Elephas maximus indicus: one gene and its partner. The protein of the gene in region 2 interacts with the protein of the main gene of each other region in a pairwise test. Links are inferred from orthologs where the notes say so. Each region holds a gene or a part of one and is shown on either strand. Other genes may lie near its edges.

Region 1 (16,112 bases), on a different chromosome or scaffold from region 2:
TGGCATTCTCAAGGTTGCTAAAGACTACCCTTTTCAGAGACCCCGACCCTGCTGTTGCCCAGTCATTAAGTGCATAGACCTAGAAGTCAGAATTAAAGCTGATTCTGACTTTCATTAAAACCAAAAAACCAAACCCATTGTCGTTGAGTCGATTCTGACTCATAGTGACCCTATAAGACAGAGTAGAACTGCCCCATAGGGTTTTCAAGGAGCGGCTGGTGGATTGGAACAGCTGACCTTTTGGTTGTAGCCCAGCTCTTAACCACTATGCCTACTGTGCCAAATTGGGCATGTAAACCTCTCTTTCTTCATCTGTAAAATGAGAATGATGATAGTACCTCCCTCCTAAGGCTGTTGTGAGTAGAAGAGCTGATGCCCAGTGTGTGCCAGGGCAAGGCCAGAACAGAGTTAAAGCCAAGGAAGTGTGACTTAGAAAAGTCCCTGATGCTAAACTGGTACCTCGGTTTGTCAGCTGTCCTCCCAAACCCATTGCTGTCCAGTTGATTCTGACTCATAGCTACCCTATAGGACAGAGCAGAACCACCCCATAGGGCTTCCAAGTCTGTAAATCTTTACGGAGGAAGCAAACTGCCACAACTTTCTCCCGCGGGGGCGGCTGGCGGATTCGAACCCCTGACCTTTGGATTAGCAGACAAGCACTTAGCCACTGAGCCACCAGGGCTCCCTCAGCTGTCCTAAACCCAACAAATCCGTTGCCGTCGAGTCGATTCCGATCCATAGCGACCCTATAGGACAGAGTAGAACTGCCCCATAGAGCTTCCAAGGAGCGCCTGGCGGATTCGAACTGCCGACCTTTTGGTTAGCAGCCACAGCTCTTAACCATCAGCTGTCCTAGAGGGTCAGATTTCCCCCTCAGACACTCCTGTCCCTGCCGGCCCTCCTCCGGCCCAGCTGAGTCACTCACCCTCGAGGCCCCAGAGCCGGGTATCTTCGGCCCACTGTAGTCATGATTTCCCTGTGGTCGCCGCCCGAAACACCGGGACGTCCTCAGCCCGGCGGCTCCTGCCTTTCTCTGGCCTCCGAGCTGCGGAGTGTGAGGCAGGGCCCGGGGGCGGGGCCTGACCTGTAGACCACGCCTCCGAGCACGTCCCTCCTCCCTCTGCCGGGTTCCGCTCCACCGCCCGCTACTCTAGCAGAGAAAGCCGCGCCCCAAACACGTGTCTCCGCCTCCTGTCTCGCTCCGCCCCCTACCCGTCTGTCGGCTTCCGAAGCTGGGGAGCCACGCCCTTCGCAGCACACACCACCACACCTCCGCCTCGCTCCGCCCCGCTCCAACGCTGGCTTCCCAAACAGTCCGCGGAAAGGACACGCCCCTCCGTCCCGTCCCGCCGCGCCCAGCTCTCCCAGGCTGTCAACGTTGCTGGCGGGGAGGGACCAGGCTCCTAGTGCACATCCCAGACTTCGGAGCACCTCAGACTCCCTCAGGCCCATCAGGCACTCCCCTCTAAACACTCAATTCTTATTCCTCCACACCTGCATGAGCCAGATTTATGAGGGTTTGGCGGGAGAAGGGAGCCTGGAGCAGCCAGGTATGGAGGAAAAGCATTAGTTTTATTAACCATAATCATAAGCATTTCCATTTACTGAGCATTTCGGTGTGCTTGGCACTGTGCTGAGATTTCGAAGGTATATTATCCTTGAATCCTCACCATAACCCTATGAGATAGGTGCTATCATGATGCCCATTTTTCCGATGAGGAAACTGAGGCTCTGAGAGGGGAACACCCTTGTCCAAGGTCATGCAGGCAGTAAGAGGAAAAGACTGAACCGGTTTCGCTGTGTAGCTTTACAGGGTTCCACTCCCCAGTGAACCGGGGGTCTAGACTAGATTACAGCCCAGTACTCAGAAGCTGTTTGATGTCTCAGGGGAAGGCCACTCATGAAAGGTCCCAGAATTTACCCTAGAGTTAACTTTTGCTCAGCTGGGTTTTTTCTCTTTATTTCAGCAGGCACTTCTGACTGGTTTGATTTAGTCAGAGGCTCTGCCTCTGCAGGTTGAGAACATGGATGATTGCTTTGGTTAAGGGTGAGGAGTCTCCCAGAGGCATAAAGAAAATGGCCTTAGGCTTAGAAGACAGATAAGTGTGAGGCCACTGGAGGCAGGCAGATTCCAGCTAAAATCCCAGCTCTACAACCTCGGCTGAGTCCCAGTTTTCCCATCTCTAAGATGGGGCTAATAGAAACTTCTACAGAGTTTTCAGTGAGATAACATTTGTTTTGATACCCAGTAAAAGTGCTTACTGAGTGGGAGCTATTGTCACATCACTGTTATTTGTGTTTTTGCATGAACTCAGCTCACTCTATGTTATGGATTGAAATGCGTCCCTCCAAAAAGATATGGTGAAGTCCTAACCTCTGGTACCTGTAAATGAGATCTTGTTTGGAAGTATGGTCTTGGAAGATATTACCAGTTAGGTTAACGTGAGATCGTATTGGAGTGGGGTCCTAATCCAATAGGAATGGTGTCCTTATAAAGAGAAGATACACAGACACAGGGAAACAGAAGAAGGACTCCTTGAGATGCTGCAACTGCAAGCCAAGGAATACCTGGAGCTACCAGAAGCCAAGAGAGAGGCATGGAACAGTTTCCCTCTCAGAGCACTCAAAGGAATCAACATGGCTGATACCCTGATTTGGACTCTCAGCCTCCAGAACTGTGAGACAATGAACTTCTGTTCTTATAAGCCACCCACTTGGTGGGATTTTATTATGGCAGCCCTAGGAAACAAATACACCCTATAACCAAGTTGACAAACAGTTTTCTAGATCAGGTGAAGCAGTGTTGTCCAATAGGATTAAACATGGTGACCTGAGTGGTGAGGAAAAGGGGGGTAGCAGAGGAGGGCTCCAGTGATGGAGGTCAGGGCCCAACCAGCAGTTGAGGGCCTATGCTGGAGGCTATAGCTTCATAGTCTGGTGGACGTCAGTTCGAATCCTAACCTTGTCATTATCTAGATGTGCCATCTGCCTAGGGCAAATGACTTCCCCTCTCTGAGTCTTAGTTTCCAAATCTGTCATATGGAAATAATAACAGTACCTCCTCACTGAGTTTTTTTCTTTTTTTTGAGAATTAATTACAAGTGAAAGTCCTTGCACAGAGCCTTGTCTGTAGTAAGCACTTGGTTAACATGTTTCTTTTTCTTTTTAACCCAGATGTGTGTGTTGGGGGATCCTCTCCAGCGGTACATTGGCAGGAGGCTGGAAACACCATCCCTGTAGGTCCCACTCCACCTGCCCCTGGGGGCACCTACCTTCCTGAGGACACATCCCTGGGAGCGCTCTCCTCTTCCACGTCTACCTTAGGGGCCTCAGGCTTTCTCGTGGGGCCTGCCTCCACTGCTGAAGGACTGGGCCCCACTGCTGGGATGTCATCCAGGGGAGCAACGGCCTGCACAAACACCTCCTTGACTGCCTCCAAGCCTGGGGGGTCTCGCAGACTTTGGGGCACCAGGTGGGGCTCAGGACCCCTCTCCTGAGCCTCCTGGCCAGCCTTTTGGTCTCGAGCCCTCTTGAAGTTGGGGCGAGGCATGGTGCCCATATGGCTGTACATGTCACTTGAGCGGGCATAGGCTGGGGGACTCTTGGGAACTGTCACCATGTCATCTTGCGTGGCTTCAAAGGTGTCAGGCTCCAGATGGGATTGGTTGCTTATGTGGGCTGAGGACCGTCGCAGAGTGAAGGACCGGGAGAGGCTGGAGAGACTCCCAAAGCCCTTGAACTTGAAGAACTCTGGCGGGGGTAGGAGGAGCAGAGGAAAAGGAATTAATGACAATGATAGCAACAACAATAACAATAAATATTTCCAGTACCACTGACTGAGGCCTCAAGGAGGTTGGAGGGCTTCGCTGAAACCCCTTCTAAGTATTATCACATTCCCAGAAAGTAATGTAACACTATGGAATCATACAGCCCTGGGCTTGAATCCCTGCTCTTTCACATCCTGGATGTGTGACCTTAAGCAAGTCACTTGACCTCTCTGAGCCTCATTCACCACATCAGTAAAGTTCGAGTTATAATGCCTACTTCCTTTCATGGGCGATGGGAGGATTGAAGAAAAGCATGTAAGTAACAAGCTTAACAGGGTGCCTGGCACACAGACTACCCTCAATAAGGTCGTGATGACGATGAAGACAATGACAACAGTGATCATTACTGTGACAAATACCTCTGCATTTGTCGAACATGTTGCACATATTACCTCACTGAATCCCCAGCACAACTCAATGCCCCAAGCTTAACTCCCCATTTTCCAGATAAGAAAATTGAGGTTCAGAACGGTGAAATGAACCGCCCTAGGTCACACAGTCAATAGGTGAAGCATGTATGAGTGGGTGTGGATACCTGTGTGTGTATAGGAAGGGGAATGAAATGTAAAGGGGTGTTGGGGGCCTGAGGGTCCCACTCTGCGGTTCTCTGCTTCCTGTCAGCTGAGCCCACATATCGGACTGAGGCGACAGGGCTCGGGTGATACCATCTCCTCACTTCCGCAGGAGTGTGTGTGAGCTCCCTCCTCTCCTCCCCCAGCTGTAGGACTATCCCTCCTCTCAGCCTCTACCTTCTGACTTCCTTCCCTATGGCCCCTAGATGAGCAAAATAGAAAAACTGGCATTTTTCACTTTACCGGCAACCTCCACCTCCTCGGGTCCTCACAACCACTTTGGAATATAGGTAAGATATCCCCCATCAACGGGAAGCCCAGAGAGGGGAAGGGACTTGCCCAGGGTCACACAGCAAGGCCATGGCTGAGCCTAGACTAGGGCCCAGGCTCTGGACTCCTGAGTCAGATCTTCTCACCCTGTCCTGCTTACCCTCACCTGGTCTTCACCTCTGCCTCCTGAGAAATGCTGTCAGAAAATGCTGATGCTATGTGCTCAGACAGCTGCCCCCTGGGGTAGAAATTGTGCCCACGGCCAGAGGGATAACCATCAGCTGCCTCTTTTCTCAGCATTACTTGTTTTGTCTCCTGGGCACTCGAGGTAGAGGCAGTAGTGGGGCACAGAGAGAAACCGAGGCCTAGAGTCCAGGGATGCAGACTCTAGCCTAGCTCAGTGGTCCCATATGACCTCAGGCAAGTCTCTGGCCCTCTATGGGCCTCAGTATTCCCATCTGTAGAATGTAGACATAACCCTGTATTCTACTCCCCTACCTCCCTCCCTGGTGCTGTCAGATCAAAGGTTTCAGGGGACAGCGGAAGTTCACTGGACCACGAGCAGACCCAGCTGGGGAAGTGGAGGGAAGGGTGGGTGTGGCCCCTGGCCCAGGAGCCTGGTTAGTAGCTCTGGGCTCTTTCCCAGGTGCTGGGTCCCAGCCTCACTGCTGTAGGAACATGGGACAACATCCCATGGTATCCCCCCTGCCCCAGTAACTCCCAGCTTGAGATCAGTGTGGACCCAGGCTGGGGAGGGGAGAGAGGGCAGAGGAGGGAGATCTCTCCCTGCCCAGCCCTGAGGTTAGACAAAGCTAGAGATGGGGAGAGATGGAAAGACCGAGAGGCGGGGTGGGGAAAGACAGAGAAACAGAGATGGGCAAAGAGACAGGGACAAGAGAAGCAAGGAGATGGAGTCAAGCCATCTGAGGGGACAGAGAGAGAGAGACTGGGCCAGGGTGTTGGAGACACAGCAACATGGAAATTCAGAAGCAGAGAGCTCCGGAGAGAAACAGCAATGGACAGAAAGAAAAACAGAAAAGGCACAGGGGAACAGAGAAACAGATGCAGCCAGAAGCCCAGACAGACAGACAGACAGTTGGAGGGATGCAGACGAGCACAGGCAGCAGTCCCGCACTCACTGAACTTTTTGCTGGCTTTTCTGGGCTCCTCTGTCATCCTGGCGAGCTGTGCAGAGCCCCAGGGCAGCAGGCAAGTAGCCACTTGAGGCTCTGGACATCAACAATGATGTGCCTCCCCACCTCCCCTTCCCCTTTCTCAAGCCCTCTTGCTGGCTTCCTCTGTTTATTTTTAAACCAGTGAAACTCCCACAGCCCCACCCACCCCACCCTCTTCACAGGGGGTGGGGGTGGGGCCTCCCCATTCTCAGCCCCTCTGGGTCGCCTCCTTGGCCTCAGCAGCAGGGGATGGAAGGAGGGGGACCACAAGCCCATGGGACCTGGAAGGTCTGGGGAACAAACCACAGACTCTGGGAACGGAGCCCACTGGGCCAGGGGCCACCGAGGGCCTCCAGCAACTATCAGGGGGGCTGGCCAGTGAGAGGGGAGGGTACGGGAAGTCAGGCCAGCATGCAGGGCAGTTGTTACAAGCCTTGGTACCCTGGAGATAGACTGGCAACTGGGGTAGGAGCGTCTGTAGTCAGACCTGTGGGTTCTGGGACCACTCAGACCCAATTCAACTCTTGGCTGGCCACTTGGCCACCTTGTCATCTTGGTCTGGAGAGCTCACTCGCTGAGCCTCAGTTTCCTCTCTGTGAGCAGAGGTGCTTGCAGTGCCTACCCCTCAGGGTCCCATGCTTGGCACAGAGCTTGGCACAGATTTGGTGCCTATCAAGGCGTGGTCACTTAGCAGGGACACAGCAGTAATTTGGTCCACCACACCCATTGTACACTGAGGGGGAAACCAAGGCACAGACAGAGTGATTGCCCCAGGTCACACAATAGGTCAGTAGCACAGATTGGGTTACAATTTTCCCTTCCGGGTCCCTTAACAGGAGCCTGGTACTTTCCCTACCCTACAACCTTCCCTTGTATGCACACTCTTGTGAGCAGGACAGAGATGAGGAAATGCAACCTCCCCTCAAGCAGGTCATCCCCAACACCTGCAGAGGGTGTCAGCAGTTGCTCCGGCTGGTGCAGCAGCAAAACCAGGGGCTTCAAATCCTAGTGCAGACAAGTACTTCTGCCTCCAAAGCCTCCGTCACCTAACCTCTAAAATGGGTATGAGGTCCACAGTCAACCTGCAGAGGTTCTGGCATTATTTTATTATTATTCTGGCCTCCAGGCCGACAACCAGGCCTAAGAGGGAGGGAGTCCAAGGTCAGATGGAGCTGGTTTTTGTATCCTCTATAAAAATAATGATGATGACTAAAATCTTCTGCCAACTTCATTCCAGCCACATAGCTCAGTCCTTAGCCATAAGAGGTAAATAATTTTACTTTTGTCCCCATTCTAGAGATGTGGAAACTGAGGCCCCAAAAAGTTAAGTCACCTGGAGTTGGAACCTGCTTGGTCCAGCTACAGAGCCTGAGTTTTTAACTGCCACATTCATGGCCTCCCCTAACTCCCTGTCAGCAAGGTGATGCACTTTGGTGGGAGGAGAGTCTGGATGAACTTTCTTCTTGGTGTAAGGGTGAACAGGGGCCCTGAAAAGGAAAGGAACAGAGCCCATGAGGCCAAGGGAGCAAGGTCCTGGCTTGCAGATAGGCATGGATGAGACCAGTGTTCAAGGCTCAAATGAAAGTAAGGGATTTCTGAGTCACGAACTTGGGAGAAGAAGGTATATTTCTAGCTCTTGCTATCGAGCACTGACAATGTGCCAGGTACAAGGTTGGAAGCCTCCACAATCCTCCATTTGAATCTTTACAACAGACCTATGAGGCAAATTCTGGTACTGTCCCTACTTCACAGATGAGGAAACTGAGGCTAAGGGCGAGCAGAGACTAGAGAGAAAGACATCCAGGTGTCTGTCCTCCCAGGCCAGTGCCCTTTCCTGTCTCAGGTTGATGTCAGAAGATGGAGAGGGCCCCTAGCAGAAAGCAGAGGGTGGGTCCCCCCGCTCCAGCTTCTCTCTCAGGACGCAGTTCCAACATAACTAGGGTTAAGTTCCAGGGCTGTGGCATCGGCCAGTGCTGGCTTCCCAGTCCAGCCTACTCCTGACTTGCTGTGTGATCCTGCGACTAATTTCTCTGGGCCTCAGTTTCCTCATCTGTGAAATGAAGATGGGAGAATGAAAAGTAAATGCTAGCACGCAGTGGGCCTCGGCAAGCAGTGGCTGTTGTTGCTATGGAATAGGAGGGAGCCAGGAAAAGGACAAACCCGCTCAGGCCAGGAAAACCTTGGTGGGTGGGCTTGCTGCTTTGGCGGAGGCTCCTCATCAGCGCTAGGGCCGGTCTTGGTCTTGCCGTTGGCCCGGGTGCCAGCGGAATTGCCCCTGTCGCTGGGAGAATGAATGGAGCTCAGTGTGGCAGCTCCGCCAAGCTCAGAGCCCCCTTTGTGCTGCCTCAAGTGGCCGTTGGGAGTGTGGCTGGGAAACTGCTGGCGGGTGGCTGTCCCACAGGCCCTTCTCAGCCTGTGCTGGAAGCCAGCCCTGCCCAGCCCACGCTTCGCAGCCCTGAACACACTAACTAGCATTCCCCTGCCTCCAGGCCTTTGCTTGGGCTGGACCCACATCGAGAATGCTGCTCTCCCCTCCACTGGCTCAAACTTTTGCATCCTTCCAGTCTCTCCAGGGCTGGCCAAGCCACAGTGCCCCCAGGAACCCTACTCTGATTTCTGTCCCTTTTCCTTGCCCCTCTCCCCTAGTCTATGACTCAATCACCTGAAGCTTCACCAAGTAGTATCAGAAATTGGAGACCTAAAACTTCAAAGGCATTGGACTCAGGCAAACCCAAGTTCAGTCCCCACCTGTGTGTGGGGTGGGGAGTCATGTCTCCTCTCCGAGCCTCTTTTCCCTGGTTAGTAGAATGGAGCAAATACAACATCCCTCCACACCATCTTGTGAAAGTGAAATAAAAACATTTTTATTGAGGTTATAATTCTTATTACATTTATTTGTGTCTTTATTTATATGTTCCAAACAGAACTCAAGCTTCCTGGATGCCTTACCTACCATATCAGCAGCTATACCATAGGTGCTCAATAGATGCTTTTCCCCGGGTTGACCTGGTTGCCTGGTATTGGGGGCAGTATAGGATGATGGTTAATGACTCTGGACTTTGAAAATAGACCTGGTTTTGAATCCCGCCTCCACTGCTCCCTGGATGAGTGGCTTTGGGCAGGCCACCTCACCTCTCAGATCCTCGGTTTCCTGCTCTGTAACCTGGGCTCAAAAATAGCACCTCCCAAAAGAGGTGCTATCAAGTTTCAGGGGATGATGACACATGTCAACACAGGCCAGATACAGAGTCAGTGCCCAGCCAGTGTGGGCAGAACTTTCATGGTTTTATAGGGCCATGGACATCAGCAGCCATTCTGTCCTGTATCCCTCTACGCAGTGACCCCTTGTCTGTCTGGTCACACCAGCAGCCAAAAGCAGCCCAGCCCAGGAGCCTATCTTCCTTCCCGTTCACATTTCTCTACCCCATTCCTGCTCTGGGGTAGAAACAGAGGGTCCAGGCCAGGGTCAAAAAGCTGTCCAGTGGCTCCCTTTCCTGCTCTGTGTCTCAACTGCCCAAACTGTTAAATGGCAGCAGGACTAAGGGCTTGTCAGAGCCTGGTCAGTAGGTCAGCCAGCAGACAGTTAGTGAGTACCAGCCATATGCCCAACCTTGCCAGCTTAGCCAGTCCACAGGAAGCAGGAAACCAGCAAAACAGACGTCAAAGTTAGCGAGAAATTATTTCTGGCTGGGATCTAATTTCTTCTCACTTCTGCCTGGGTTTTGCCAGTTTTAGTGGGTGGCAGCCTTCAGAAGGGTTCCTGACCCCCCTTGCCTGCCTTCCTTCCCCAGGGAGGGCTGAGGGTTCAAGGCTCCAAGTAGGAGTGACTGATGGATATCGGGGTTCAGGCCAGGGACAGTAGGTTGGAGGTGATGATAGCACCGGAACCTCTGCTGAGGTCTCTGCCCACAGGACGTGGCTTAGAGGAGGTGTCGTGGGAAACAGGCAGCAGGCCCTGGTCTGAAGGTATGAGGGTGGCAGCCACGTAGACCCATGGCAGACCCGCATTGCTACTTTGCCTTCCTCCACCTCCCATCCTACCTCCAGGCCAACTTGCCTGTGTCACGGCTCTGCCCTGGCTCCACCTCCAGTCTGGATGGGCCAGGCCCTGACATGGGTAAGGGTTTGGGCTTTATGCCACACAGACCTGGTTTAAATACCAGTTGGCCACTGGCTAGCTATTTGACCCAGTGTGTACAACGGAGTTGAAAATAGTACCCACTCACAGGGTTGAGTGAGAATTGAGATGATTCTCATATGGTGCTAGGTGTAGGGTTTGCCCCATTTATTTTTCTTCAATAAATGTTAATTACTATAATCATTATCTTTGTCCTCCCTGCCCTCGCTCACCCCCATATTAGCCAATGGGCTCCCTGTTTGCAACAGGTTACCCGTGAAGCTGGCCCAACACACTCTGACACATCACTCAACTGCCTAAAACCCTCACAGGCTCCACACTGCCCTCAGGAGAGGCCTCCCCACTCCTTGGACTGATCCTTAAGGCCCTCCCTGGCAAGGCCTTGCCCCAGAACAGGGCCTCTTGGGATACCAGGATCAACAAACCCATTCCTGGCTGTCACAAGAAGGTTTCAAGGCCAGGCAGTATAGGGTAAGAGCTGGGGAGCAACCCTGAGCTTTCTGAAGGCAGAAAGGGTATTCGGTCAGGGGAAGGGTGGTGGGAGAGGACTGGAGAGCACAGCCCTGAAGACAGGAAAGCTTAAGGAGTTAGGAAGTGGAAGAGAGATTTGTGTGGCCATAGACCTGGGGAGGTGAGTTACAAAGAGCCTTGAATGTCACCAGACAGTGGAGGGTTTGAAGGTGGGAAATACATGCAGACCTCACTTTAGAATAATCTGGTGGGTGCTGTGAGAAAGACAGATGGAAAGGCTGGACTGGGGTGGCCAGGATTCAGGATACATCTGCAGAGCTGTAAAGAAGGGGGCAGATTGAAGAACATAGAAAAGACAACTCTGCTAGCGGCTGGTCATTGGGCAGAGCTAGAGGAAGAAATGGAGGCTCCTAGCGCTAGGAAGATACCAAGAAGATGCTGGGAAAGGCATAGGCAGCATGGGGATGTGGGGAAGTGTATGGTCAGGAGGGGGACGGTGGTGAGTGGGAAGCTTAGTGCCTGGCAGGAGGACAGCATACCTCAGGTAGCACCACTGCTATCCTCCTGAGCATACTGTAAATAGCCAGAGTCAAAAGAATCCTCGTGCAGGTTCAGAGAGACCAAGTTCCAGCTTTGCCACTGTGTGACCTTGGGCAAATGACCTCATCTCTCTGAGCCTCAGAGTCCTTCTCTGTAAAATGGGTTAGTGATCCTGACTGCGGGGGTTGTTGCCAGGATTCAGCGTGAGCGCCCAGCACTTCTTGAGCACACGGGGGTCCTCAGTAAATGTTAGCTATTTTCATGGGCCCAACCGGCTCTGGCGCAGCACGGATGGGGTGGGGGCGCTGTGATTCTTATTCCTGCCTCCCAGAGAACCAGGGGTACAGGGCCCGAGGCCGGGGCGTTGCTAGCTCGCCGCCTCCAGTGTCGCCGCGCCCCCTGGCGGCCGTCGGTTGCCATGTCAACGACGGGTGGCGGGGGCCGGGGGGGCGGTGGCGGGGGCCGTTCACTCCTCCCAGGGCCGGAGGCCGCTCCCTTGGCGCCTCCCGCCTTCGCCTCTGGCGGGTAACTCCGAGCCGTGAAAGAAGGGGCTCCCCGTCACAGCCTGCCGGGGTGGTAAACTGAGGCACGCGGTGGGCCGCCTCGCAGCCAGGTGTCGGGCGCGGAGCCCCACCTCCGAAAGCGGGGGAGGGGCCGCAGGCGGTGACGCGCCGAGGGCGGCCGGCGGACAGCGGGCGGGCGGGCGGGCGGGCGGCGACAGCGGCGGCGGCGGCAGGTGCGGCCGCGGAGGGTGGGAGGGAGGGGGCGGGTAGAGGGAGAAGGGAGGGCGAGGCCAGGGCACCTCCCCCTTTATAACGCGCCCCCTTCGGGGCTCTCGGGCCGCCTCCTCGTCGGCTCTTTCTGCCTCGCCCCCTAACCCGGACGCCCCGAGCCGGGGCCCGGCCAGGGATCCCCCAGGCCGCGGCTCGGGGACCGCCCCTCCGCTCGCCGCCCCGCGCAGCCCGGCGGAGGCGGTGCCGTCGGAGGAGGAGGAGCAGGGCACTGCGGCTGGCCCCGGATCGGGCGCCAGAGCGGCAAGCAGCTTCGGCAGCAGCAGCGGCCCGGGCCAATGCAGCGGGACGCACCGCTCAGAGCCCCAGCTTCGGCGCCCCGGCTCCCCGCGCCCCCGATCGGGGCCGTTGCCGGCAGTGGCGGCGGCGGCGGCGGCGGCGGCGGGGGCAGCGGCGGCGGCGGCGGCGGCGGCGCCTCTGCAGCTCCAGCTCCCTCTAGCCTCCCGGGAACTACAAGTCCCAGGGGGCCCGGCGGCGGGCGGCGGGCGGAAGAGGCGGGGTCTGTGCCGCGAGGCCGGAAGTGGCCGTGGAGGCGGAAGTGGCGCGGCCGCGGAGGGGCCTGGAGCACAGCAGCAGGTCCAGGAGTGGGAGCGGCGGCGGTGGCTGGAGGTGGTGGCGGCGCGCTGGAGGCGGCCATGGCAAAGCAGTACGACTCAGTGGAGTGCCCCTTTTGTGATGAGGTGTCCAAATATGAGAAGCTCGCCAAAATCGGCCAAGGCACCTTTGGGTAAGACTGGGCCCCGAGGGACTGGGGCCCCGGGGCCAGCACTCCCCAGGGCCGACGTGGGAGCGTCGGGAGCTGGGCCTGAGTTGGCTGGGAAGCCGCTGAGTCCCGGGCATGCCCCCTGGTCTCGCAAGGCCGGGCCGCATCCCGCCGGGGCCTGACGGGGCCGGCTGGCGGGGAGGAGCCTGAGGCCTGGGGTGTGGGACGGCGAGGGGTTGCAGAGAGGAACTGGGGAGGAAAGCGGGACCTCCGGAAGGCGCTTGGGTAAAGAGGGGGGACTGAGGGAGGGAAGCGGAGGCCCGGCAAGGGGCCGGAGACCCAGGCCGGTGAGGTGGCCGAGTGCCGGGTGCCCGGCCGAGCCCCGCCCGGGAGTCTCCCTGTCCCTGCCACACTTCCTCTCGTGGGGGAGGGGCGAGCCCTGCGGAAACTGCCTCATCAGCCCTCAGTGTCCCCTCTCGGCCTGCAGGGAGGTGTTTAAGGCCAAGCATCGCAAGACCGGCCAGAAGGTGGCCCTGAAGAAGGTGCTGATGGAGAACGAGAAGGAGGGGGTAAGTGCGGCCCGCCAGCATCACAGAGCAGCGGGTTTGGGTTTCCAGCCTGCTTTTTCCAGGAGTCTCCTGCTGAGGTTGAATTTTTGTTAGTAGTTTCGGAAATTGGCACATTTCAGGGAATTTGGCCTCGAAATTAAGTCTTTTAATTAAAATATCTTAAACATTTGTTTAAGTAGGGCTGAGTCCAGGAGGGGGAGCTCATGCTTGCACTGCATGCACTTTGGTTCAGAGTTTAGAAGCTTTAAAAATTGTTTTCTTTAGTATATGATTTTGTTTAATGTAAAAAATGTATGCATATGGCTTTAAAAAGTGAGTAATATTCAAAGAAGTGTGTTGGAAAGGAGCATCCCACCCAATCTTAGCTCTCATCCCACTCCCCAGAAACCAAGTTCTCATCAAAGATGTTTTAAGGTTATTTTTGTGACCACAGAGCAAGTTAAACACAGGCATAGAGCTAACACATGAAAATAGCAGGAGACAATAGCGTATATAGTGATGAATAGTAAAGAATTTGTGTAAAATAAGGGTATTAAGTTCATTGTCTCAAACCAGCTCTTTGAGGTGTGCATGCTATTATCATACCCCTTTTACAGATAAGGGATCTGAGTGAGCTTATATCAGAGCCCATGTTCTTAACTCTGTCTTTCAATCTGTATGCCTTAGTAGAGACCCCAGGACCAGTTCCTTGGCCCGCAGCTCTCTGACTCACTTTTGACCTCTTATCGTCTTTTTTCCCCCCAGTTTCCCATCACAGCCCTACGGGAAATCAAGATTCTCCAACTTCTGAAACATGAGAATGTGGTCAACTTGATTGAGATCTGTCGAACCAAAGGTATGTTTGGATCTCATCCTTCGTTTTTAGATGGAGAAAGTGGGGCTTATAGCCTAAGGTTTTGTTTGTAAAGTTAGAACTGGAGGGCCTTAAAATGCTTCTTCTTAGGCAGTGGTGATTGCTTTCTTTGGTTCTCTCTCGTCGTAGCTGGTTCTTCCCCAGGGCCTACCACACCACCTGGCCCAGGGAAGCACTCAACATATATTTTGCCAGCGAAGGAATGAATAAATGGATGCTCTGGAGGACATGGGTGGTCCATGGATTAGAGGGAGTAGGAGCTGGTTATGGGGAAATGGGTTGCATATGGGATTTTTGACTCTTCTTCCTGTCCTTCACCCCAATTCTTTCCATCTCAGCATCTCCCTATAACCGTTGCAAGGGCAGTATATACCTTGTGTTTGACTTCTGCGAGCATGACCTTGCTGGGCTGCTGAGTAATGTCTTAGTCAAGTTCACACTGTCTGAGATCAAGAAGGTCATGCAGATGCTGCTCAATGGCCTGTACTACATCCACAGAAACAAGGTAGGGGCCGGCGGAGGAGAGAGAGACTAAGGCCTTTGCTCCCACTGTGGGATGGTTGTGGCCAGAGGATCCAGGGGAGCCTGGCTGAGCCTGCACTCCTGTCTTTCCTGCAGATCCTGCACAGGGACATGAAAGCAGCTAATGTGCTCATCACCCGTGATGGGGTCCTGAAGCTGGCAGATTTTGGGCTGGCCCGGGCCTTCAGCCTGGCCAAGAACAGCCAGCCCAACCGCTACACCAACCGTGTGGTGACGCTCTGGTACCGGCCCCCGGAGCTATTGCTCGGTGAGGACCCCCGAGCGGGCAGAGGGGGGCAGGGGCCAGGCACCTGCCCAACCCCAGCCCCTCACTGCCGTGGCTTCCTGAGCTGTCGGCCCTGGGGCATTGCATCTCAGGAGGCCCTTGGGCTCAAGGGGCCCTCCTGGTGCGCTCTTCTTCCCAGGGGAGCGGGACTACGGCCCCCCCATTGACCTGTGGGGCGCTGGGTGCATCATGGCAGAGATGTGGACCCGCAGCCCTATCATGCAGGGCAACACCGAGCAGCACCAGCTTGCCCTCATCAGCCAGCTCTGTGGCTCCATCACCCCTGAGGTGCGTGGCCAAGCCGCGTGGGCTCCCAGTCCCCATGGGTGCAGAGGCCCAGAAGCCTCTGTGGTGGGGAGGAGTGGAGAGTGCAGTGGCCCAAAGCTCCCCCTCGGAGATGTGGTCGGTGGAGGGGAAGGGCCTGCTTTTGAGCAGTACATGGCGAGTGTTTAAGTCTCAATTCTGTTACCAGTTAATTCTGGGACCATCAGCAAGCCATTCGAACTGCTGATCTGAGAACTGTTTTTTTGTGTGTGTGTGTGAAGCAAAAGTAATGCTTCTATTAGGTTGGCACTGCATATACTCAGGGTGACTTTCTTAAAAAGTCTGGCACTGCACATGTGCTAAGTACATGGTAGCTGCTGCCCTTCTCGCCTTGGAAAGTTGAGTTTTCCCTCCGGGGGTGCCTGCGGAACATCTGAGTAGATAAGTTGTCTTAGTTTAGGTACTTCAGTAGCATCTGAATAAATGGCCGACAGATAAGCCACACACCCCGTGAACTAACTCTGTTCCCTGTCACTGTCCCCGCCCCCCCAGGTGTGGCCAAATGTGGACAAGTACGAGCTATTTGAGAAGCTGGACCTGCCCAAGGGCCAGAAGCGGAAGGTGAAGGACAGGCTTAAGGCCTACGTGCGCGACCCTTACGCACTGGACCTCATTGACAAGTTGCTGGTGCTGGATCCCGCACAGCGCATCGACAGCGATGATGCCCTCAACCACGACTTCTTCTGGTCCGACCCCATGCCCTCAGACCTCAAAGGCATGCTGTCCACACACCTGACGTCCATGTTCGAGTACCTGGCGCCACCACGCCGAAAGGGCAGCCAGATAACCCAGCAGTCCACCAACCAGAGCCGCAATCCTGCCACTACCAACCAGACGGAGTTCGAGCGCGTCTTCTGAGGGCCAGCTGCAGCTGGTTTCCATTAGGGCTGTTTTATTTTGCCTTCTGCTATATGACTTGCATTGTGGAGATGACGGGGTGTCTGAGGTTTTGGTCCACATTTTAATTTCTACTCCGGGCACAACCAGCTGAGTAGACAGGTGGAGGTTGGCTGAGGGTACTGGGGCTGCCTCACCCCTTCTCTGATTTTCTGCATGGCACACAGAGGGTCT
Region 2 (15,845 bases):
CCGATGCCCGTTTCAGGTTGGAGGGGGCAGCATAGAGGGGAGGCCCAGGTTCCCGGCCCCCCTCCCACTCCAGGTCCGTCTCCAGCTCTTTCGGTGGCTTTGGGGTCAGAGGCACATCATAGGGAGCTTCATTCTCTCCAGGAGGCTGTGGGGGCACCCAGGCCAGAGGGCGGGAAAAGGAGGCTGGAGAGTCGTAGGGGCTACTGGATGGAACCCGGAGGGCAGTGGGGGGCACGTCATAGACCTGGAGAGGGGGAGGAGTTGTTAGTCTTCAGGCTTAGTGATGAACCCTCCCTGGGGGCCCCCATGCTATATACACACAGACACAGACACACATGGGTCTCCAGGCCCAGGCAGCCCCTGCCCATACCTCTGAAGTGTTTCCAGGGGCAGCCAGCTGGGTCCCCCTGCCTCTGGGGATCTTGTAGATGGGGTCAGGGGAGGGCGGACAGGGTCCAGTCAGAGATCCTGAGGTGGGACAGGGCCGAGCTGGGGGTGGTACCACATACACCTGGGGATCAAGATAGGTGGGTGGGTCAGGAGGAGTGAGGGGCCAGGGAACAAGATAACGTCTGGCTTGAAGGAGCTTAGAGGCCCTCCAACCCCTTCCCTGTATTGATGGGGAAGCAGGGCCCAGGAAGGGCTGGTCATTAGGGTTCACAGAGCAAAGTCAGTGAAGAGCTGAGGTAACCTGCTCTGCCTCACTGCAGGCCCCAGAGGAAGGGCACAGGGCTGAGTTCGGGCTCCCCAGCTCTCACCTCCTGGTCCTTATTGCCATGCTCTGGGGCTGGATATGGTGAGCCAGGCGGAGGTGGGGGCACCTGGAAGATGCTGGGCTTGGGTGCTGGGCCAGTGGGAAGGAGCTTCACTCTGTTGGCAGGCACGATGCCCTGCTGACCGTGTAGGGAGCAGAGGCACCAGCCGTCCAGCCCGCCTGCACCCTCCTGCTGCAGGACCCGTAGAACATCCCCTCGGCGGAAGGACAGCTCCTGGGGGGACTCAGCAGTGTTGTCGTAGAGTGCCCGGGCCAGCTGGGCCTGGTGGGTGAGGTGGGAGTGAGGCAGGGTCTTCACCCATGTTAGGTCATGTCACCCCCTGCTCAGACCCCTTCAGAGCTCCCTGTTTCCCTTAGGTTAAAAATCTGAGCTCATGGCTCATTTCTTTCTCACTGGGCCCACCTCCTCTCTAGCTTCCCCTCCTCCTGCGCTCTCCCTCTTCCTTTCTATTCCTTGCACTAGACAAATTCTTTCCTGCCTCAGGGCCTTTGCACTTGCTGTTCCCTCTACCCAAAATGCTCTTCCCTTGACTTCTTATCTTACAGGCCCTTTTTTATCCTTCAGTTTGGCTTAAATGTCTCCTTCTCAAAGAGGCCTTTTCTTCACCCCTCCCCCAGCCCCCATTCTCTGTCTCCACACATGGTTTCTGTCATAATTCTTTACACTGTTTGTCCATTTACTTTATTACTGATTTCTTCCCTTATACTGTAAGCCCTGTGAGGACAGGAACTGCTTTCTTCCTAGAACCTGCAGTAGGGCCTGGCTCACAATCAGTCCTCAATAAACAAGCTTTGAATGAATTTCCTCCAAAGCCTTGTGTGTGTGCTAGGAAGTCCTGCTAAGGTTTTCCCCAGAATTTTCTTTACCTTCCCTCAGCTGGTGTCCCCCCAAAAGAAGCAGTTGCAGAAATCCCCTAACCTGAGCAAGTGGGAGAAGCCCAGGCCAGACACAGTGCCTAAGCATAATAATGAAGAAAACAGAAACCGAAGCACTTGGTTTGTTCTCAGTCTGAGCAAACCTCAGAAGAGGCTGAGGTTACCATGGAGAAAAGTGTGTACACTCCAGTGTGTGTGTGTTTAGAGGCAGGCTGGCAAACCAACCAAGACAAACATTTATTAGCCTGTTTCTTGTCCATCGGGTGGGCCCATCGAGGGCCATATGCTCAGATTATAAGCCACAGATGTTTCTGTTGTTGTTAGTTGCTGTTGAGTCAATTCTAACTCAGAGTGACCCCATGTGTTACAGAGTAGAACTGCTCCGTAGGATTTCTTGGCTGTCATCTTAAAGGAAGCAGATCATCAGGCCTGTCTTCTGTGGTTCCACTGGGAGGGCTCGAACCACCAACCTTTGGGTTAGCAGTTTGGCACAAACCGTTTGCACCTCCTGAGGACTTTTTAGTAAGTCACAGGTGTTTTTGCGTGCTGTTGAGTAGATTCCGACTCATAGTGACCCTATAAGACAGAGCTAGAACGGCCCCATAGGGTTCCCTTGGCTGTAATCTTTATGGGAGCAGATTACCAGATCTTTTCTCCCACAGGGTGGCTGGTGGGTTTGAACTGCTGACCTTTCAGTTAGCAGCTGAGTGCTCTAACCATTGTATGACCAGGGGCTCCTTAAGTCACAGATACTGAGTGCTAATTACATGTTCAGACACTGTGTATGTCTTTACACTAATTATCTCATTTAATCCTCACAACAACCTCATGAGGAAGGGGCCACCACTATTTCCATTTTGGAAAGGAAATTGGAACAGAGAGGTTGGTACATTGCCCAGTGATGCAGAGTTGGTGGAGCGTGAGTTGAACCCCAGGCTGTTGGATTCCAGAGCCTGCACTCTCAATCACTTGCTTTACTGCCTCTCCACAATCACAAATGTATAGACCTACTTTCTTATATTGGTTAACAGTGGTTGAGTCGAGAGTCCATGACTCAAACATGAGTCAAGGGCACATGGAGGCTTCATTATGCCCAATTTCCCTTTGCTAGTAACCCTTCACAGTGCTCGGGTTCCAGGATATCCTTTGGCAGAATCAAGTTTAAACCACTCAAAATGCCAAATTACCTGTTCTGCTTAAGTTATGATAGCTAAGTGACCATGGCTGCTGGCAGGGCCCCAGGCAGTGGTGGTGGACAGCAGGTAGTTTGGGAGTACTGACTAGGTAATCCCCGTGTGCTGACCAACTCAGTAAAAAATCCCAAGCTGAAGACCTCAAACAGGCTGCATTTGACCATCAGGCCCTGGGGAGGTTGCCCTGTTCCTTCGGCATGAGTGCATGTGCCTTCTGGTGGGTGTTTCCCTCTGTGGAGAGGTTGTCCAGCCCTTCACGGCTGGTTGACTTTAACAACAAACTAACTTCTCCTCTTGCCTGACTCCAAACTCATCAAACCATTTTTTCATTATATTTTGGCTTCTAAAGGATATTGTTCCACAGAATGGAAACATGCAAACCAGATGACATAGATTTCTGGCTAGCTCAGCATGTTTCTTTCTAAATGTAAATTATAAACTGGTGTTTTAGATCTAGCCAGGGGGTTAAGAGTATGATTCCAGAGGCAGGCAGACCTGGGTTTGAGTCCTAGCTCTGTCCCTTTCTAGCTGGGTGACTTTGAGCAGGCTGTTTAGGCTTTCTGAGCCTCAGTTTCCTCCTGTGTAAAACTCGGATAATAATACTACTATCCCCATAGGGTTTTTGTGAGGTTGTGGGTGAGATAATGCATCAAAAACCCATGAGAGGTTTGGGGACCATGGTTTCTTGGGAGATCTAGGTCAATTGGCATAATAAAATCTATTAAGAAAACATTCTGCATCCCATTTTGGAGAGTGGTGTCTGGGGTCTTAAACGCTAGCAAGCAGCCATCTAAGATGCATCAGTTGGTCTCAATCCACATGGAGCAAAGGAGAATGAAGGACACCAAAGACATAAGGTAAGCATGAGCCCAAGAGAAAGGATGGGTCACATAAATCAGAGACTACATCAGCCTAAGACCAGAAGAACTAGATGGTGCCTGGCTACAACCAAGGACTGCAATGACAGGGAACACAACAGAGAATCCCTAAAGGTGCAGAAGAGCAGTGGGATGCAGACCTCAAATTCTCGTAAAAAGACCAGACTTAATAGTCTGACTGAGACTAGAAGGACCCTGGAGGTCATGGTCCCGAGACCTTCTGTTAGCCCTAGACAGGAACCATTCCCAAAGCCAACTCTTCAGACAGGGATTGGACTGGACTATAAGGAAGAAAATGATACTAGTGAGGAGTGAGCTTCTTGGATCAAGTAGACACATGAGACTATGTGGGCAGCTCCTGTCTGGAGGGGAGATATGAAGGCAGAGGGGGACAGGAGCTGGCTGAATGGACACAGAAATACTGGGTGGAGAGAAGGTGTGTGCTGTCTCATTAGGGGGAGCGCAACTAGGAGTATATAAAAACCAAAAACCCAAACCGAGTGCTGTTGAGGAGATTCCTACTCATAGCAACCCTATAGGACAGAGTAGAACTGCCCTATAGAGTTTCCAAGGAGCACCTGGCGGATTCGAACTGCCGACCTTTTGGTTAGCAGCCGTAGCACTTAACCACTACTCCCCCAGGGTTTCCAGGAGTATATATATAAAAAAATATATAGCAAGGTGTATATAAGGTTTTGTATCAGAAACTGACTTGATTTGTAAACTTTCACTTAAAGCACAATAAAAAAAAAAATGACTTAAGGACACTGAAGGGTTAGATTTCTTAGTCTAGCTGTCAAAAATATTGTTTTTTTTCAAGTTCTTTTGAATAACATATGATTTGGCACACATTTTAACAATTAAACTGTGGACTTCACATTAAATGAAAAAAAAAAAAACCCACGAGAAAGCTTAGCATAGTGCCAGGTGTAGTAAATGCTCAATAAATATTAGCTGTTATTAGGATTCTGAGAGTCTGATTAGTGTAAGTCATTTCCCTGGACCTCCTCACTTCTGAGTAAAAGAAAAAAATCTACCTCCTGGGACTAAAAGCTGACCAGCTGGCTCCTAAGCCAGCATCTTTACGTCACAGTGCCCCTACTATTTTACGACCTCCCCCTCTCTGGCTCTGAGCTAAGGTCTTCTCACCATCACATAGACTGAGAAACTAAAAGGAGTTTGGTCTGAGATGGTGCCAAACTCAAACCCAGCAGGCCCCCTCCAGGGGTATGGGAAGATGATGGATGTCTCTCCGTTTCTCTTTCCAGTTTCACAATCCTCCTTCCCAGAGTTCCCAAGCAGAGGGGGGCCAGAACACTGGTGGCAGCCTCACTTTCCCTGGGAATCACTTGGATTCAGGCTACAGAGGGCATAAGACAGAAAGCAGAGGTGGGGCTGTGAAGTACTCCTTCCTGTTAGGTTTGAATTCTGTCCAATGGGGCCAAACAACCCAGGCTTGCAATTACAGGAAACTAGAGAAAGACCTGGCAATCTGCTTCTTACAGCCAAGAAAACCCTATGGGGCAGTTCTACTCTGTCACATGGGGTAGCTAAGAGTCAAAATTGACTTGATGGCACCTAACGACAGCAACAACAACAACGATGGGCAGAGTTGTTATAGACGGATTGATGATGGGTGTGGCCCACCCCTGCTCTACCCCCTTCTCAAGGGCCCAGCCGACTTGTGAGGGAATGGCTGGCTTAATGGGGGTGGCCGTGGACCACTTGTTCTTTGGGAGGCCGCCTCCCACTGTCCCATCCAGCCAGCTGTCTCCTCCCTTTGTCCCTAGTCCCCGGAAAGTGGCCTGAGGCTGGCTGACATCACCTCCCCTCCTCCCTCTATTTTCTCTTTCTCTTGCCAGAGCGTCCTTCTTTGCTCCATTTCCCCCGTTTCCTCCGTCCCTCCTCTAGAGATGGGCCTCTAAGAGTCCTTTGGCCTCTCCCATTTTCCCTGAACTACATCCTTTCAGCCCCCTCCCAACCTTTTACTAGCCTCCCAATCACAAGCCCCTGCCGACCACAAGTGGCCACCTGTTCCCGCCCAGGAAAGCAGATAGGTTTCTGGTTACACTTGCCCCCTCCCCTTGCTCCAAGAGCAGCCTCCAGAAAGAATAGAGGAGAATGGGGAGGGGGAGGGGAGGAGGGGCAACTCAGAACCCGTAGGAGCGCAGGGGATAAGTGAGAAGGAAAGGGGAACAAAAGTGAGAGGAGGGGAGACAGCCTTCTGGCGAAGAAAGGGACCCAGGAGAGAGACAAAGAGAGGAAGAAATAAAAGTGACAGGACCGCATGGCAGGCTGTGGAGGTCGCTGTTCGGCAGCCTCCTCTCACTGATGGGACTCACCGACGTGGCTATGGCCATGGGCTCGGCCTCTGGCGTGGCCTGCTCCAGGCCAGGCTCGGTTTCGCTGACTTCAGCAGCGGTTGACCCGCACCATGGTCCACTGCCTCCAGGCGAGGAGGCGCCCCCCGGCTGCGGCGCCTGAGCCGTGGCCTCCGCCGAAGTTGGAGGAGGAGAAAGAAAATCCACAAAACTCTCCAAATGGGAGGCAGCCTGGCCAGGCAGGAGGAGGAGCGAGGCGGGTCGGGGCGTCGCTGCGGGACCTTATCCAAAGGCGCGCGCTATGTACTGTCCCGGGGGCCACCAGGCTGGCAAGGCCCCCGGGGCTGCCTGCCCTAGGCCGCGGAGGCTTACCGGACCCTCATGGGCCTAAAGCTCCCTTTTAGGGCCCGGACCGGCGAGAAGGCGGGAGCTGGGGCTGTACTCGACGCCTCTCCAGGCCTCTCTGAGCGGCCCCAAGGGCTGGGAGAGGCCGCCGGGGCGGTTGAGCTGGACGAGTGAGTTTAGGGATCAACCCTTCCCACCCGGGGGGCGCGCAGAAGAGTGGGACTCCCAGACCACTGCTCGGGGCACCGGAGGACACTGCGGCGGCACCCGCTGGGAGAGCAGGAGAGCGAGAACTGAGACTTTTGTCCCTCTTCAAACTCGCCCAAGTTAGCGTGGGGAGGCCGGGCTGCCACCAAAGGCCTCCGAGAGCGTGGCCGTTGGGCTGGGTTGCTGGAGTGGCTGCTTTCTGCCCAGACGCTCGCACCACAGGCAATGCGGCGGGCTTACGCTCGCACGCTCGCTGTAAGCAAGCTGGGGAGCCTGGGGGCGCCGCGACGGTGCTTCGCCCCCGGCTGTCGCCTGGCAGCAGCCCGCACGCAGGCACAACCCGTAGAGGCGGGGCGGCCTGAACAACTCCTGCTGGCGGCCAGGCAGAGAGGGGCCCGCCGCCCTCCTCCAACCCTCGGCCTTGGCGCGCAGGGCCGCGCACGACCGCTCGCACCCTCTGCCCCCTGGCACCCGAAGCGGGCCCCGCAGCCCACGCTCGCACGCACCCTAGGCAGGGCCCCTCGGCACCTCCCAGGTGTCTCTGGGAACGAAGGGAAAGACCACAAAGCAAAAGAAGAAGCAAAAGGAAGGCGAAAGAGAGCAGTGGCTAAGGTCCTGTGGACTCGCCTGGGGGGTGTTGGGGAGGGACCCTTAGAGGGTCCCCCCCGAAGCAGGAGGGCTGGGAGGCTCCGGGGGTCGCGCGTGGCCCCCAGGCTCACCCCCCGCTCTCGGCTACCCTCCCTTTCCCGGGCTCCTGGCTCCCTCTCAGTGCAGTTTCTTCCTCCTCCCCTCCGGCCCGCTCCGACGCGCGGCTCAGTCCTGGGGATTAAGAAAAAGAGGGAGGGGAAAAGGGAGGGGGCGGAGGAGAAAGGAGGACGATCCCTCCAAAGGCGGGTGTTGAGTTTCAGCTCCGGACCCTCGGGCCAAACGGCACTCCCCCTCCCGGCCCCTTTGCTCCGCGCCTCCGTCTTCCCGACTACGCGGCGGATCTCCCGGTGGTCTGGTCAGCTCCCCGCTGGGAGCTTTCCTCTCCCTGCCACGCCCCCGCCCTCCTCCGCCAGCCCCGCGCCTCTCTCTGCCTTCCTTTCATTAGCCCCACATCTGTCTTTCCCCTGGGAGGGAGCGTGCTCCTTCCGCCTTACTGGGGTCCCCTGCAGAGCCTCTCCCCTCCCTTGGATGACAGGGTTATCCAGGCTGTTCCTGAGGGGAACAGGCTGGAGTCTGGGGCTGGGCATGGATTCTGGCACTGGCAGGAGAACGTGAAGCCTGAGCTCCTGGCCCCAGAGCTGCAGAAGGGCCGGTTGGGTAGCCTATCACACTTTGCCAGTCTGGGCCTGTCCCCCGCCCTCAACCCTTCTGGTTCCGTGCTGCCTGGGAGAAGCAGGAGTGGTGACAACGGGCACAGAAGGGCAAAAACTCTTTTAGAAGGACTAGGATCTGTACCCCAAGGAGTTTCAGCTGAAATGACAGGGCTCTTTTAATCCCCCACACCTCTCTGCCCTTCCTATTGTTACTCCTTAGATTTCCTGTTTCTTTCCAGCCACTTCTTTCTCCTGGTTCTCCCTCCTGGGCACACACCAGAGGCTTGAGGGAACCCTACCTACTTCCATTTCTGAGTTTCCTGGTCCTTAAAAAAGGAGACACCAAACAGTGTTGAAAGCTGTGGTATATTTTTCAGTGTTTACATTTAACAAATTAACACTTCAAACACATAGACAATGGCTCTGTGTATAACCTCCTTAGGAGATAACATCCGAAGTCTAAATTTAAGGCCCTTTTGGAACCTGAGGACTTGGACTGTGCTCTCCTCGCCACATACGTACACATTCCGCAGATCCACATATCCAGGCATTTCCCAGGACACTGGGAGGATACCCGTGCCAGCTCTTTCACCACCCTATTGCCTGGGCACCTATGAGGATCCCTCTGCAGAGGCGAGGGATGGAGCCTATGAGGGTTAGGGAGAGATGCTGGGGTGAACGTGGGGATGAACCATATTGGCTCTGGGCTTGGCTCAGAGATGGGGTGCATCCTGAACAGACCCAGACTCCATTAGGTCAGTATGGGAACAGATACATCTGAAGGGAGAGTGCCTTCATCCCAGCTCCATCCTCATCTGAAGTGGCCACTAGGGAAGGTTCTCCAACCTCCAGACCTCAGCCCTGGAGAGCAGAGGAGGGGGTGGGGGCTGGCCACCTGGAGCATAGACATTCAGCTGTGGGGGGTGGGGGGTGGGGTAACTGGTATGGTCTCTGCCCAGGGGACTGTCAAAGCAAATTGGGGTCCAAGGTGGAGGTGGGCAGGAAACCCTGTGTTCAAAGAGGAATGCTGTAACTGACACCAAAGGAAATAGGTGGAGGCCAGAAAAGGCTAAGCAGGAAAGAAGCTGCTAGGGCCAGGGAAGACTGGTGGCTTGGGAGATGAGTAGTGGGGCTCACTGCGTGTAGCCCAGTGCCTGGGGAAATGTGGATGAGAGATATCAGAGTACAAACCAGGGAAATATGACTGTGTTCTGGAGTCCCCAAGCATGAATGGAGCCAGTCTGACTCCGGCGTGAATTCTGGTTTAGTAGCTGTGTGACCTTGGTCAAGTTACATAACATCTCTGAGTCTCAGCGTCTCATCTGAAACAGTGACTTTGGTGAGGAGGAAATATATGTAAAGTGCCTAGCACAACGATCTTCTTCCATGGCTTTTCCTCTTCACCTTTCCTCCCCCTTTAACTTGTGCTTTCATAAGCTCATGCCCTTTGTGAAGGCAGGAGGAGCCTTTTCTCTGTCCTTAGGCCTCATCTCTGGCCTCTCCTTTGCACAGAGGTTTAAGCTATTCTAACTTGTTTAGGGAGAGCTCTCAGCTCCAAGTAAGGTTGGAGAAAACTCAGGTTTAGTGGGCAGCTAAGACCTTGGGTGGGCTGCAATCTCAGGCAGCTTGGCCCTCAGTTTGAGAGTCTACCCTTGCTGTGTTCAGTGGGTAGAAAGAAAGGAACTCCATCCAGCTTTCAGGACTCCAGTCTTCTCTCCCAGTCTTTCTCCTCCCCAGCAGGGTCTGACCAGCTGTGTCTTCCTTGCTCTACCGCATGGCTTCTTGGACTTGTCCTTGTTCCTCTTGCTACCTAAGCCCTCTCAGATGCTCATTAATTCTTCCCTGGTCTCTCCAATCCCCTTCTCTTTGGGTCTCCACAGCACCAGATGGTGTGAGTTCTCATCCTAGTTCTAACAGGACCTATGTAACCTTGTCCAGTTACGTGACCTCTTGGAGGCTCTGGTTCCTTGTCGGTAAGATGGGGCTAATAATGGAACCAATAGCACTGGCTTGTGTTGAGGATTCAGAGTTAATCTTAAACCCTGAGAACAGTGCCTGGCCCATGATGCGTAAATGTAGGATAAAAGGAACGACTATTACTATTTGGTGCCAGCCATGTGGGTGTTACTTGGTGCCAGAATGTGAAGAATATGATGCCTGCCCTTGAGGACCTCACATCCCGTGGATCATACCTGAATCCAGTTAAAACCTTCCCGCTTGGAATAAAATCAAATGCTCCATCATAGCCTGTCAGACTCTGCATGATCTGGTCTCTGCCCTCTTCCACTGTCTTCATCTCATTCCCCTCTCCCCTTCATTCTTTGCTTTCCATCCACATGGTCCTTTCTGTTTCTCAAATATGCCACACTCTTTCCCACCTTTAGGACGCCGCATGCTCTGCTTCCTCTGCTAAGAAGATTCTTCCCCTAGGCTCTTTCCATCTTCATGTCAAAATCTTCATCCTCAGAAAGATCTTTCCTGGCCTACCGAGACGAGGTTGTGACCTCTCCCCTAACAGTAACTCCCTATCTTCTAATCGAGTTTCATTTTCTTCATAGCACTTACTGCTATCAGAAATTACCTTGTTGCCTGTTTATCATCTGTCTCCTCTTGAAACAGGGCAGCAATCTTATCTGGCTTGTCCTTGTCTGCATTCTTAGTATTTACAATTGTGCCTGGAATATACTAGGTGCTCAATAAATATTTGGTGAGTGGATGAATGTACAAAGGCAGCCATGACTATAGGACAAAGCTTGAGTAAGCCAAGGGCCCTCCTTGGGGAGGCACCAGCCTTGGGCTCAGGGGAGTTGCCAGGCTCTTTGTCCCATTCACTCTGATTCTTCTTCTGTTGTCTCCCAGGCCAAACTGGGTTCTCTAAGCCTAAACATCTTTGTAGCTAAAAGTTATATTAAAAATATTTAGCAATGACAACCCAAGTGCCCAGATGAATGAATAAAGTGCGGTATATACATACAGTGGAATATTATTCAGTCATAAAGTTCTGATACATGCTACCACATCGGTGAGCTTTGAAACCATTATGCTGAGTGAAATAAGGCAGACACAAAGGACAAATGTTGTATGATTCCATTTATATGAAATATCTACAATAGATGAATCCTTTGAGACAACGATTAGTGGCTACCAGAGATTGGGGAGGAGGGGAGAACAAGGAGTTAAAAAAAAAAAAAAATTCAAGAATCACTTATAGGTGTTCCCTACAGTCTTCTTAAAACCAAACAATGGTTTATCTTAACTAGTAAAAAATGCTTGCCTTGAGCATTATGCTCTTTTAAGAACTATCTACATGGGATCAAATTGAGAATAGCAACTCAAAAGGTTAGAGAGGAGCTTTAGTGGCTGTGAACTTATGTTAATGGCGGAGGAACAATTCAGAGAAGGAGGGTGAGGATGGTTGCACAACTCAAAGAATGTAGTCAATGTCACTAAATGGTACATGTAGAAACTGTCTTATTGGTGTATGTTTTGCTGTGTATATTCTCAACAACAAAATAAATAAAATTATTTTTTAAAAAAAGAATCACTTGTCGAAAGAGTTCAAGGATAAACTGGAGGATGGAGTATGTACGGGTTTCCTGGGGCTGCCATAACAAGCTACCACACATAAGGTGCCTTCAAACAACAGAAATTTATTTTAGTATAGAGGCTGTTGTTGTTAGGTGCCGCTCAGTCAATTTTGACTCATAGTGACCCCATGTGACAGAGTAGAACTGCGTCATAGGATTTTCTTGGCTGTAATCTTTATGGAAGCAGATCACCAGGTCTTTCTCCCGCAGAGCTGCTTGGTGGGTTCGAACCGCCAGCCCTTCAGTTAGCAGCCAATTAGTTAACCATTGTGCCGTCTTGTTATGGAGACTAGAAGTGTGAAATCAAGGTTTCAGCCTTCAGTTCCCTCTGGAGGGTCTGAGGGAGAATCTGTTCTGTGCCTTCCTCCTAGCTTTTGGTGGTTGCTGACAACCCTTGGTGTTTCTTGGCTTCCTCCCAGTTGTATCATTACAGTCTCTGCCTCCATCCTCATATAGTTCTCTCCTCTCCATCTGTGATTTCTCCTCTTCTTATAAGGACATTTATTATGGGATTTAGGGCCCACCCAGATAATGCAGCATGATCTTGTCTCAAGATCCTTAACTTATTTACAGCCACAAAGACCATTTTTCCAAATAAGGTCACATTCACAGATTCTGGATGGACATATCTTTTAGGAGGCCACCATTCAACCCACTATAGAGTAGATAAAGTTTAAGGTTCATCTAACCCTGAGCTTCTAGGATCCTACATTATTTATACTAAAGCATATGTGACTGATGTTCAATGCTTCCCTAAAAGAAGTTTTTAAAGGGCAATGAACATCTATTAACTGGTGAAAGATGGGGGAAGAAAAGAAAAAACTAGCAATGAGTACTACGAGAACTGACCAATCAAAACACAGAAGCAAGGTTTAAGCCAGCTTCCAGGAGCAAGCTATACCAGACATTCAGCCTTTGGTTACTGGATCACAGGGAGGTCAGAGGAGGGAGCTATCCCAGGAGGCTGAGGGTAGTATCTATTTACCGGCAGATGCAGAAACATTTCAACTTTTTTTTTTTTTAATTAACTTTTATTGAGCTTCAAGTGAACGTTTACAAATCAACTCAGACCGTCACATATAAGTTTATATACATCTTACTCCGTATTCCCACTTGCTCTCCCCCTAATGAGTCAGCCCTTCCAGTCTCTCCTTTCGTGACAATTTTGCCAGCTTCCAACTCTCTCTATCCTCCCATCCCCCCTCCAGACAGGAGATGCCAACACAGTTTCAAGTGTCCACCTGATATAATTAGCTCACTCTTCATCAGCATCTCTCTCCTACCCACTGTCCAGTCCCTTTCATGTCTGATGAATTGTCTTCGGGGATGGTTTCTGTCCTGTGCCAACAGAAGGTTTGGGGACCATGACCACCAGGATTCCTATAGTCTCAGTCAGACCATTAAGTACGGTCTTTTTATGAGAATTTGGGGTCTGCATCCCACTGATCTCCTGCTCCCTCAGGGGTCCTCTGCTGTGCTTCCTGTCAGGGCAGTCATCGATTGTGGCCGGGCACCAACTGGTTCTTCTGGTCTCAGGATGATGTAAGTCTCTGGTTCATGTGGCCCTTTCTGTCTCTTGGGCTCTTAGTTGTTGTGTGGCCTAGGTGTTCTTCATTTTCCTTTGCTCCAGGTGGGTTGAGACCAATTGATGCATCTTAGATGGCCGCTTGTTAGCATTTAAGACCCCAGGCGCCACATTTCAAAGTGGGATGCAATTATTTTGCCAATTGACTTAGAAATCCCCTTAAACCATGGTCCCCAAACCCCTGCCCCTGCTCCGCTGACCTTTGAAGCATTCATTTTATCTCGGAAACTTCTTTACTTTTGGTCCAGTCCAACTGAGCTGACCTTCCATGTATTGAGTATTGTCCTTCCCTTCACCTAAAGCAGTTCTTATCTACTAATTAATCAGTAAAAAACCCTCTCCCCCCTCCCTCCCTCCCCACCTCGTAACCACAAAAGTAGGTGTTCTTCTCAGTTTATACTATTTCTCAAGATCTTATAATAGTGGTCTTATACAATATTTGTCCTTTTGCCTCTGACTAATTTCACTCAGCATAATGCCTTCCAGGTTCCTCCATGTTATGAAATGTTTCAGAGATTCGTCACTGTTCTTTATCAATGCGTAGTATTCCATTGTGTGAATATACCACAATTTATTTACCCATTCATCCGTTGATGGACACCTTGGTTGCTTCCAACTTTTTGCTATTGTAAACAGAGCTGCAATAAACATGGGTGTGCATATATCTGTTTGTGTGAAGGCTCTTGTTTCTCTAGGGTATATTCCGAGGAGTGGGATTTCTGGGTTGTATGGTAGTTCTATTTCTAACTGTTTAAGATAACGCCAGATAGATTTCCAAAGTGGTTGTACCATTTTACATTCCCACCAGCAGTGTATAAGAGTTCCAATCTCTCCGCAGCCTCTCCAACATTTATTATTTTGTGTTTTTTGGATTAATGCCAGCCTTGTTGGTGTGAGATGGAATCTCATCGTGGTTTTAATTTGCATTTCTCTAATGGCTAATGATCGAGAGCATTTTCTCATGTATCTGTTAGCTGCCTGAATATCTTCTTTAGTGAAATGTGTGTTCATATCCTTGGCCCACTTCTTGATTGGGTTGTTTGTCTTTTTGTGGTTGAGTTTTGACAGAATCATGTAGATTTTAGAGATCAGGCGCTGGTCGGAGATGTCATAGCTGAAAATTCATTCCCAGTCTGTAGGTGGTCTTTTTATTCTTTTGGTGAAGTCTTTAGATGAGCATAGGTGTTTGATTTTTAGGCGCTCCCAGTTATCGGGTTTCTCTTTGTCATTTTTGGTAATGTTTTGTATTCTGTTTATGCGTTGTATTAGGGCTCCTAGGGTTGTCCCAATTTTTTCTTCCATGATCTTTATCGTTTTAGTCTTTATGTTTAGGTCTTTGATCCACTTGGAGTTAGTTTTTGTGCTTGGTGTGAGGTATGGGTCCTGTTTCATTTTTTTGCAAATGGATATCCAGTTATGCCAGCACCATTTGTTAAAAAGACTATCTTTTCCCCAATTAACTGACACTGGGCCTTTGTCAAATATCAGCTGCTCATATGTGGATGGATTTATATCTGGGTTCTCAATTCTGTTCCATTGGTCTATGTGCCTGTTGTTGTACCAGTACCAGGCTGTTTTGACTACTGTGGCTGTATAATAGGTTCTGAAATAGGTAGAGTGAGACCTTCCACTTTCTTCTTCTTTTTCAGTAATGCTTTGCTTGTCCGAGGCTTCTTTCCCTTCCATATGAAGTTGGTGATTTGTTTCTCTATCACCTTTAAAAATGACATTGGAATTTGAATCGGAAGTGCATTGTATGTATAGATGGCTTTTGGTAGAATAGACATTTTTACTCTGTTAAGTCTTCCTATCCATGAGCAAGGTATGTTTTTCCACTTAAGTAGGTCCTTTTGAATTTCTTGTAGTAGAACTTTGTAGTTTTCTTTGTATAGGTCTTTTACATCCTTGGTAAGATTTATTCCTAAGTATTTTATCTTCTTGGGGGCTACTGTGAATGGTATTGATTTGGTTATTTCCTCTTCGGTGTTCTTTTTGTTGATGTAGAGGAATCCAAGTGATTTTTGTATGTTTATCTTATAACCTGAGACTCTGCCAAACTCTTCTATTAGTTTCAGTAGTTTTCTGGAGGATTCCTTAGGGTTTTCTGTGTATAAGATCATGTCATCTGCAAATAGAGATAATTTTACTTCCTCCTTGCCAATCCGGATGCCCTTTATTTCTTTGTCTAGCCTAACTGCCCTGGCTAGGACTTCTAGCACGATGTTGAATGAGAGCGGTGATAAAGGGCATCCTTGTCTGGTTCTCGTTCTCAAGGGAAATGCTTTCAGGTTCTTTCCATTTAGAGTGATATTGGCTGTTGGCTTTGCATAGATGCCCTTTATTATGTTGAGGAATTTTCCTTCAATTCCTATTTTGGTGAGAGTTTTTATCATAAATGGGTGTTGGACTTTGTCAAATGCCTTTTCTGCATCAATTGATAAGATCATGTAGTTTTTGTCTTTTGTTTTATTTATGTGGTGGATTACATTAATGGTTTTTCTGATATTAAACCAGCCTTGCATACCTGGTATAAATCCCACTTGATTGTGCTGAATTATTTTTTTGATATGTTGTTGAATTCTATTGGCTGGAATTTTTTTTTATTGACTTTTATTAAGCTTCAAGTGAACGTTTACAACTCCAGTCAGTCTGTCACATATAAGTTTACATACATCTCACTCCCTACTCCCACTTGCTCTCCCCCTCTTGAGTCAGCCCTTTCAGTCTCTCCTTTCGTGAGAATTTTTCCGACTTCCCTCTCTCTCTATCCACCCATC

What was found.
Region 1: the proteins of EFS (region 2) and SH2D3C interact in a two-hybrid assay, tested with the Homo sapiens proteins (2 studies listed by BioGRID and IntAct). The two-hybrid records come from large-scale screens. The link is inferred for Elephas maximus indicus from reciprocal best matches to the Homo sapiens genes EFS and SH2D3C.

Annotation. Positions count from the first base shown.
Region 1 is NC_064827.1:78,865,793-78,881,904, forward strand, and holds the start of SH2D3C (SH2 domain-containing protein 3C), read right to left. Parts: upstream 5,939-16,112; 5' UTR 5,846-5,938; coding exon 5,809-5,845; intron 3,751-5,808; coding exon 3,273-3,750; intron 1,058-3,272; exon of another isoform or gene 970-1,057; coding exon of another isoform or gene 926-969; intron 1-925. Other genes in the region: CDK9 (cyclin-dependent kinase 9), read left to right, coding at 12,420-12,511, 12,975-13,056, 13,801-13,891, 14,248-14,414, 14,528-14,699, 14,857-15,005, 15,534-15,899. UniProt on the Homo sapiens protein: Acts as an adapter protein that mediates cell signaling pathways involved in cellular functions such as cell adhesion and migration, tissue organization, and the regulation of the immune response.
Region 2 is NC_064828.1:34,692,390-34,708,234, forward strand, and holds the start of EFS (embryonal Fyn-associated substrate), read right to left. Parts: upstream 6,311-15,845; 5' UTR 6,083-6,310; coding exon 6,065-6,082; intron 1,038-6,064; coding exon 759-1,037; intron 512-758; coding exon 371-511; intron 245-370; coding exon 1-244. UniProt on the Homo sapiens protein: Docking protein which plays a central coordinating role for tyrosine-kinase-based signaling related to cell adhesion. May serve as an activator of SRC and a downstream effector. Interacts with the SH3 domain of FYN and with CRK, SRC, and YES.